Macaca mulatta: one gene and its partner. The protein of the gene in region 2 purifies or fractionates together with the protein of the main gene of each other region. This does not show direct contact. Links are inferred from orthologs where the notes say so. Each region holds a gene or a part of one and is shown on either strand. Other genes may lie near its edges.

Evidence for each region.
Region 1: the proteins of MAP2K2 (region 2) and KSR1 purify together in Homo sapiens (affinity purification with mass spectrometry; 4 studies listed by BioGRID and IntAct, with this or other methods). This does not show direct contact. The link is inferred for Macaca mulatta from reciprocal best matches to the Homo sapiens genes MAP2K2 and KSR1.

What each region holds. Positions count from the first base shown.
Region 1 is NC_133421.1:36,150,496-36,154,787, reverse strand, and holds the start of KSR1 (kinase suppressor of Ras 1), read right to left. Parts: upstream 3,049-4,292; 5' UTR 2,851-3,048; coding exon 2,620-2,850; intron 378-2,619; exon of another isoform or gene 1-377.
Region 2 is NC_133424.1:4,939,778-4,943,581, forward strand, and holds part of MAP2K2 (dual specificity mitogen-activated protein kinase kinase 2), read right to left. Parts: exon of another isoform or gene 3,731-3,804; intron 3,428-3,730; coding exon 3,217-3,427; intron 1-3,216. UniProt on the Homo sapiens protein: Catalyzes the concomitant phosphorylation of a threonine and a tyrosine residue in a Thr-Glu-Tyr sequence located in MAP kinases. Activates the ERK1 and ERK2 MAP kinases.

The DNA of each region.
Region 1 (4,292 bases), on a different chromosome or scaffold from region 2:
GCTGGGGGTGGACGGCCCCACCCAGCTTGCTGAGATTGTTTCCTGGCTTGTGTCACCCGCCTGTATGAAATGAGAGGCAGCTGCAGAAGTACCTTTCCCTAAAATCCAGATTTACTGATCCATAAAGTAGGGGTTAAGTCTCCCTAGCGAGGGTCTAGTAGGGGTTGTTTCCCTAGTGGTGGCCTGTGCCATAAACGCTACTGGACCCTCCCTAGGGAAAGCTGCCAGGCAGACTCTTTTGGTAGTAACAGCATGGACTGACAGACAAAACGCTGCAGGTGTGAGCAGTCTCGTTCGTATTTTACGTACAGGGGAGCTTGAGATTCAGAAGTCATGGGACCTGCCTAAGGTCACACAGACAGAACCCAGGCCCAATATGAAAGCCATGGGGCTTCCTGTTCACCACGCTGCTCCTATGGCAAAGATTCTTATAATAAACTTAACCCCTATGTTATGGGTTCAGTAAATCTGTATTTTAGAACCATTCTTAGAGGGTTATTCTTAAACAGGGGTAGTATAAAAATAATCACAAACATTTGATTTCACCCAACCAAGTCTCATTCTCTAACCCAGAGAATTTCGAGCCTCCAGAGCCCTCAGAGATCCACTCCAGCCTCCTTGTTTTGCAGGTGAGGAGGCTGAGGCCTCTGGGATGAAGTGACTCATCCAAACTAGCTGGTGGCAGCCCCATGGAACTCGCTCCAGGGGTCTAAATTCCCATCCCCCAAAACAACCCAAGCCCTGCCTTTTCAGGAAGTGGGTGAACCCGAATCCACATCACGGTGGGAAGAGGAGGGAGCTGCAAATCCCCTGTGGGCCTTCGGATGAGTTCTCTGCCACCAGGGATGATTGTCTAAACAAACACTCAGGAGGGAAGCCACTGAATAAACCAGCTCCAAGACTTAAATAGCTGGATGCTCTACGGTGTCATGAACGCCACACCGCCATCAAAATGAGAGACTCTGGAAGTTAGGGTAGGACAAAAAGCCATTCCAGAGAATGCACAGCAAGTGGTTCTCCTATACATACTCTGGGAGCCAGGAGCACTTCAGAGCAACGTGGGGACAATCCCACAGAGGCCAACACAGAGAGCATTCTCCAAACCCAGTAACACCGCAGTCCAACCATGCACTCTGCCGGACAGCGACCCCCTCCTCCCAGAACTGAGCCTCACAGGCCCCCTATTGTGTCAGCTTAAAAACTGAACTTTGCTGGGCAAACACACTCAGCTGTGTTCAAAAAATCAGTTTCTCTCAATACTTGGAAAACTGCAGCATGCATGCAGAAAGGCCGGTTGTAGGGGGTTTTGTTTGTTTTTTAAGCAAAGCCTTGGTCAGTACAGCTTTAGCAACTGTAATAAAAAATAATAATACCCAGCACTGACTGTATTCTTCCAATGTCCTGTGGTTTTATAGCTTTTAAGAAAATAAAACTGAGGGAGAGGCACCCCCGAGCACTTGGGATCAAACAAGGATTCAGGCTTGTGGCATGCCTGGAGGAAGGATTGGTCTTGTAATAATTACCACAATCACAGAGGGCCTTATGACAGCTGGCAGAGGCAATTAGCAATAAGGGGCGGGGGGAGGGTTTAGGGGGAGGAGAAATTGAGGATCTAATAAAACAAAACATCCCCAGACCTGCAGGAGGCCAGATGTGGCAGGGCAAGATGGTGAGAGGTTCCTTGTTCAAGACGGGGCAGCTATTAACTGGTCTGACGTTTCACCGCCCCGTCCCTGGCCAAAATCACATTTGGAATCCACTAGTTGCCCTCATTGTGTATGGACAGGGTGCCCCAACAACCCTTGGACTGGTTTTTCCAAATCCTTCTAATACTTCCCAGCTATAATTTGAGAGAGGAAGGCCCGCATATCTTATTTCTTCTTTACACTCCAGGCTGTCTCCATCAGAACCCCTTAAACAGTGTCATCTTCCCACCAAAGGCTTGCTTCCCCAGCATAATCCTTCCTAAGCCAAAATCCAATCTTTGGGGGGAAGCAGGGGGAGTCGGCGGGTAATTATTAATACATTTTAAGCAGCGAGCCTCTGTGGCAACGTGAAAGGAAAGCACCAAACGCCTGAATAGCAAAAATGCAGTTTCAGCAACACTTTTTGAAAAGCGGCAGACAAGACCTGGGAGGAGAGGAAAGGAAGGGACAGGACGGCGTCTAGGGCTTGAGGGGAACAGGGGACGACAGGCCTGCGATCACGCTTCAGGGGAACCTCCTCCGTCACCCTGGCCCACGGGTGCTCGGCTCAGTCACACAGGGAAAAGTCCAGCTTGTGACTCAGTGGGACAACGAGTCCTGCGGCCCCACAAACTGCAAATGGGGTGGGGCGGAGAAGGGAGGAAAGGGGATGTCCGCGCGCAGCCCACTCCGCCCACGGGCCCCTCGAGCCTCTATCCCAGTTCCCACCACGCACCCGCCCCACAAATCCTGCCCAAGGTGAGGGCTGGTCCTGGGTCCTCCGGCTGCCGCATCAGCGAGTGCAGGAGCGAGGGGAAGCCTCCACGGGGGCGACGCGGGCTCAAGGATGCAACTCGGCCAGGAGTGAACTGGGGCCCGGAGGGAGGTGTCCGGGCCGCTTCTCGAGCCCAGCCCGGGTCCCCGACCCCCTTACCTCCAGGGTCCGGATCTCCTGCTGGGTGAGGTCGTTGGACACAGCGCACTTGGTGCGCAGCCCGCGCAGGCTGCCGATAGAGATGTCGATGAGCTTCTGGAGCTGCCCGCACTGCTGCAGCGCCCGGCTGGCCGCGGCCCCTGCGCCTCCCTCCGCGGCCGCCGCATCCCCCCCGCCACCGCCCTCCTTCTTCTCTCCCATCGCCGCCGCGCGCAGCGCCGCTCTATCCATGCCTCGGCATCGGGGCCGCGGCGGCCGAGGCGGGGAGCCCGGGGCGCGGGCGCCTCGGCAAGGAACCCCTGAGCCGGGAGAGATGGACCAGGAGCGCCCCTCGGCGCTGCCCGAGCCGGGACGCCGGTAGAGCCGGCCGCCGAGTCTACCGCTCCTGAGCTCCCAGCCGCTGCAGCAAAGCGAAAGCCGCGGCGATCCGACGGCTGCGGCTCCCGGAGCCTTTAAGCGGCGGCGGGGGCCGGGTCAGGACGGCCGGGCATGCTGGGACTTGTAGTCCACGCCGCACACCTGCCGCCGGCCCCCGCCCTCGGGGCCCGGGACAGCGCCCGTGCAGCCTTCCCAGCCCTTCTCTCCCCTCCCCTCCTGGCGGCCGCGGCGGTTCAGGCGGTGAGGGCGGGCCCCGACTGGGAGCCCCGGGTGGGGCTGCTCCGCGCCGGCTCCTCCCCTGGGCGCCGAGAGTCGAGGGAGCAGCCTCTCCCGATCCGCCTCCACCCTCCACCCGGCCTAGGAGCTTCCCGCGACCCCCGGATGGGGCGGCGCCCTCTGGACGCCCGGCGGGTGTACGTCCCGCAGTTCCTCAGCCGCAGCCCAGCCCTAGAAGATGGGGACCAGGGAGGTTCCAGGATTTGTATGTGGGTTTAGGGGCTGCCATCTAGTGGGAAGGGGCTTACAGCACTTCTCCTGTAACTGGCTCACAAAGCGCTCTGCTCTGGACTGCCTGCGCCAAAAGGATTGCTCAGGCTTGGAGAAAGACGAAGGGCTTTCTTCTGAACCACATTTACCTACCAAAATAAGTGTCCCATTCCTCCGCCATTCCCAACCCACCAAGTCAGCCCAGACACTGGGGACAGCACACTGAATTGTCGGTGGCTTCGGAGCAAGTGGCCAGGACTCAAATTCTGACTCCACCACTATCTAGGGTGAGACCTTGGGCACGTTCGATTTCCTGTGAATGCCCGAGTCTCCTCGTCAAATAACATTTTCATAGGTTTCCTATGAAGAAGGGTTAATACATGTACAGCACCTAGATTGATTACTGGCACATGTGGTCGCTGGATAAATGTTAGCAATTCTTACTATCTAACCTCAGATCTGAATGTAGCCCTGGACCCAAGTAGTGGCCATGGAGCAGTACAGTACTGCCAAGGACTGGTAGTCCTCTATCCTCTGTGCCTTTCTGTGCCTCCTAACCCAGCAATCAAGCCTCGCCCATCTGTTCACCCTCCTGTCTCATTAGTTCACCCCGTGTGTTCTATTATCTGGCAAAACTGAAAAACCAAGTCTCTGATCAAAGCTCCCACACCTTCATACTTTTAACATCTGTCAACCAGAAAAAAATGTCTCCCCCCTGAATTTTCTCTTGTAAGCTGCTTGATTGCAGAAGCCACTAGCTAGTGTATCATTGTACCCTCTTCATAGTGCCAGAAACAGTGATGGCACAC
Region 2 (3,804 bases):
GCCAAGATGGGTGGAATCCTTGAGGTCGGGAGTTCGAGACCAGCCTGGCCAACATGGTGAAACCTCGTCTCTACTAAAAATACAAAAAGTAGCTGGGCATGGTGGTGGGCACCTGTAATCCCAGCTACTCAGGAGGCTGAGGCAGGAGAATCGCTTGAACCTGTGAGGTGGAGGTTGCAGTGAGCCAAGATCACGCCACTGCACTCCAGTCTGGGTGACAGAGCGAGACTCTGTCTCAAAAAAATAAATAAATAAAAATAAAAATAAGTAAATAAATAAGATGAGATGAAAGGAGCCCTCGCAGTCCCACCTGCATAGCAGCCAGAGCTGCTGAGCCCGCGCGCTCAACGCATCCTCTCCCACCCCCGAGTCTGCAGGCGCTTAGAAGAAAACCTAATTTTGAAAGAATTATAGAAGCACAGGAAGTTGCAAAAATAGTACCGACAGTCCTGTGTGCCCTTTCCCCGCCTTCCCCAAGGTGAATGACAGCTTCATGACGGAAGGACAGAACCAAACCCCAGAGCCGACGCTGGGACGTCCCCATGCACCAGACCACAGAGCCTGCCCAGCCACGCCTGCCCTCAGGTTTAAAGGCCCCGACCTCCCTTTCCCGGCTGTGGTAAAGCTGCAGGTGAGCCCGTCTTCACCTGTGCCGGTCAGCAGGAGCAGGAGCTGCTGATGCAGCAAGCACTGGGTTCATGTCCACTGCCCAGCCCATCAAGGACCACTGGAGGCTCCCTGAGAAGCCCGAGGGTCCCTGGCACACACGGGGACTGGCACTCTGTCTCAAGGCCCTGCTGTGGCTCTGTCAACCACAAGCTTGCTTTTTTCCTCCCGGTGCTTCGGGCGGAGGCGGACCTGAGCTTTCCAAGGCTGCTCTGGTTTGGAAGAGGCTGCCTGCAGCACGGGGACAGAAATAGCAAGTCCGCGGCTGCAGACTTCAGGAGGGAGGGAGGGTGGCACTCTAGAGGCCAGAAGACAGAGCTGCAGAGCTAAATCCCCGCAGGAGCTGAGCCGCTGCTCCCGAGGAAGGCAGGGCCCCCCAGCAATGCTGCCACCTGCGCGGACCCACAGGACTGGGTGCGGTCAGGTTCCCCCAGTTTGGGGGACTACAGGATGGTGGGCTTCCAGGAAGAGGCAGCATTCTATGTCTGCAAGAACACAGGTGAGGAGCTGAACGCCCCGTCAACACTAAGTCCTCTGCTTATGTGTTTAAGAGCCGCTGTCCCCGAGTGGTCACAACCTCCCTGTATCCCCTGGGCACTCTTCTCAAACACAGAGCAGAGGCTGCATCATGGCCCAGGAGCCCGGGATGACTAAGCTCGGGGGCTGTCAGCGCCAGGGCTTGCAAATTCTCAAAGAGTGGGGTGACAGTCAGCTTTATGCGTCTCCTGGGTGAGACCACGGTGCCTCGTCGTCAAACGCCAGTCTAGAGGTTGCTGGGAAGGTACGTTTTTAAGATGTGATTAACCTTTAAATCGGCAGACTCTGAGCAAAGCAGATTACTCCTCCCAGAGTGGGTGAGTCTCAGCCAATCGGCTGAAGGCCTTCAGGGAAAAGCCTGCCCAGGCACGGTGGCTCGTGCCTGTAATCCCAGCACTTTGGGAGGCCGAGGCAAGAGGATCACTTGAGGTCAGGAGTTCGAGACCAGCCTGGCCAACACAGTGAACCCCATCTCTACTAAAAAAACAAAAATTAACTGGGTGTGGTGGTGCACACCTGTGATCCCAGCTACTCAGGAGGCTGAGGCAGGAGAATCCCTTGAACCCAGGAGGTGGAGGTTGCAGTAAGCCAAGAAAAAAAAAAAAAAAAAAAAAAGAAGAATATAGGTCAAGCACAGTGGCTCATGCCTGTAATCCCAGCACTTTGGGAGGCCGAGGCGGGTGGATCGCCTGAGCTCAGGCCTGGTGTTCTCTTTAGTCCTGGCTACTTGGCAGGCTGAGGCAGGAGGATCACTTGAGCCCAGGAGTCTAAGACCAGCTTGGGCAACATAGTGAGACTCTGTCTCTACAAAACAAACAAACAATTAGCCGGGCGTGCACCTGTGGCCCCAGCTACTCTCAGGATGCTGAGGTGGGAGGATCGCTTGAGCCTAGGAGGCGGAGTCTGCAGTCAGCTATGATCGCACCACTGCACTCTAGCCTGGGCGACAGAGGGAGACCCTGTCTTGGGGAAAAAAGAGAAAAAAAAAACAACCAAAAAAAACACGCCCAAGGCCCCCGAAGAGGAGGGCCTGGATCTCAGCCGCAGCGTCAGCTGTTCCGTGGGGCTCTGGTCAGTCCTGCAGATTTCAGACCCACCAGCCCAGGGACTGTGTGAGCCAATTCCTTAGAATAAATCTCTCTCTACACATACAGTCAAGTATCGTTAAGGACGGGGATACACTGAGAAATCCCTCCCTGGGCGAGGTCGTCGCTGTGTGAACACCGGAAAGCCCATTCTACACCCAGGCTCTTGTACTCTGTACGGTGCGGTGCTGATAAGCATCTGTTTATCTAAATATAGAGAACCGAGGTGGGCGGATCACCTGGGGTCAGGAGTTCCAGACCAGCCTGGCCAACATGGCGACACTCCGCCTCCACTAAAAACACAAAAAAGTTAGCTGGGCACGGTGGTGTCCGCCTGTCATCCCAGCTACTTGGGAGGCTGAGGCAAGAGAATCCTTGAACCCAGGAGGTGGAGATTGCAGTGAGCCAAGATCGTGCCACTGCACTCCAGCCTGGATAGCAGAGAGACTCTGTCTCAAAAATAAATAAATAAATAAAAATAAACATACAGAAGGCAAAGACATGGCCCGATCATCTTACGTCACCACCGCTGCATAGGCGGTCTGTCATTGGCTGAGCCATCGCCATGAGGTGCGTGGCTGTACACACAGGCGCGAACGCACACACGCTTCATCGCTTGTTTCTCTGGAGAACCGTAACACATTCACATTCCTGAAATTCACACTTGTTAGCTTTCTGCGAATGTGGATTTCAAGTGCCCTCCAGGGCAGAAGGTAGCCACCGGAGGGCACAGCTGTGTGTGGCTGGCACCGTTCCCATCTGCCCAGAAGCTGGGCCCTTTCTCAGTACCTAGAGTCCCTGGTGGGGATGAGGAATGGAGCCTGGAGCTAATCAGAATGCAGAGACCCGGCTGCCTTCCCAACCTCCCTCCTGTTTCCAGGGGGAACCTTCCCCACCACTCCCCAACCTCCGACCCCGCAGCGCTCACCTTCCTGGCCATGATGAGGCCCGAGGGTCTGTGCTGGACTTTGGTGACCACCCCGCCGTTGCCCGCGCCCAGCTCTGAGATCCTTTCGAAGTCATCGTCTTTGAGTTCGCCGACCTTGGCTTTCTGGGTGAGAAAGGCTTCCAGACGCTTCTTCTGCTGCTCGTCAAGTTCCAGCTCCTCCAGCTTCTTCTGCAGGTCCACCAGGTTTGCCCTGCAGAGACCCCCAGGGCAGGGGTTAGCTACCTAGGGAGAGTCTACCTTTCCACCTGGCCGTTTACCGCGTGGCCGTGGCGCGCCGGCCCCCAGAAGGACACAGACTGGATTCCTGCACTTCAGGGGTTTGTGGTGTAGAAGGAAAGAAGGATCCATGCTGTGTACACTCAGCAGACACACCAATGACCAGAATCCAGGGCCGCTCCCCGGGAACTGAGGATGCTGCCTTGATCCCGTCTCAGCAAGTCTAGCAGACCTCAGGATCTCGAGGATAAGCCGCAGCTCAAAGGCCTCCATCTGCTTTTTCTTTTTCTTTTTTTGTGAGACAGAGTTTCCCTCTGTTGCTCAGACTGGAATGCAATGGTGCGATCTCGG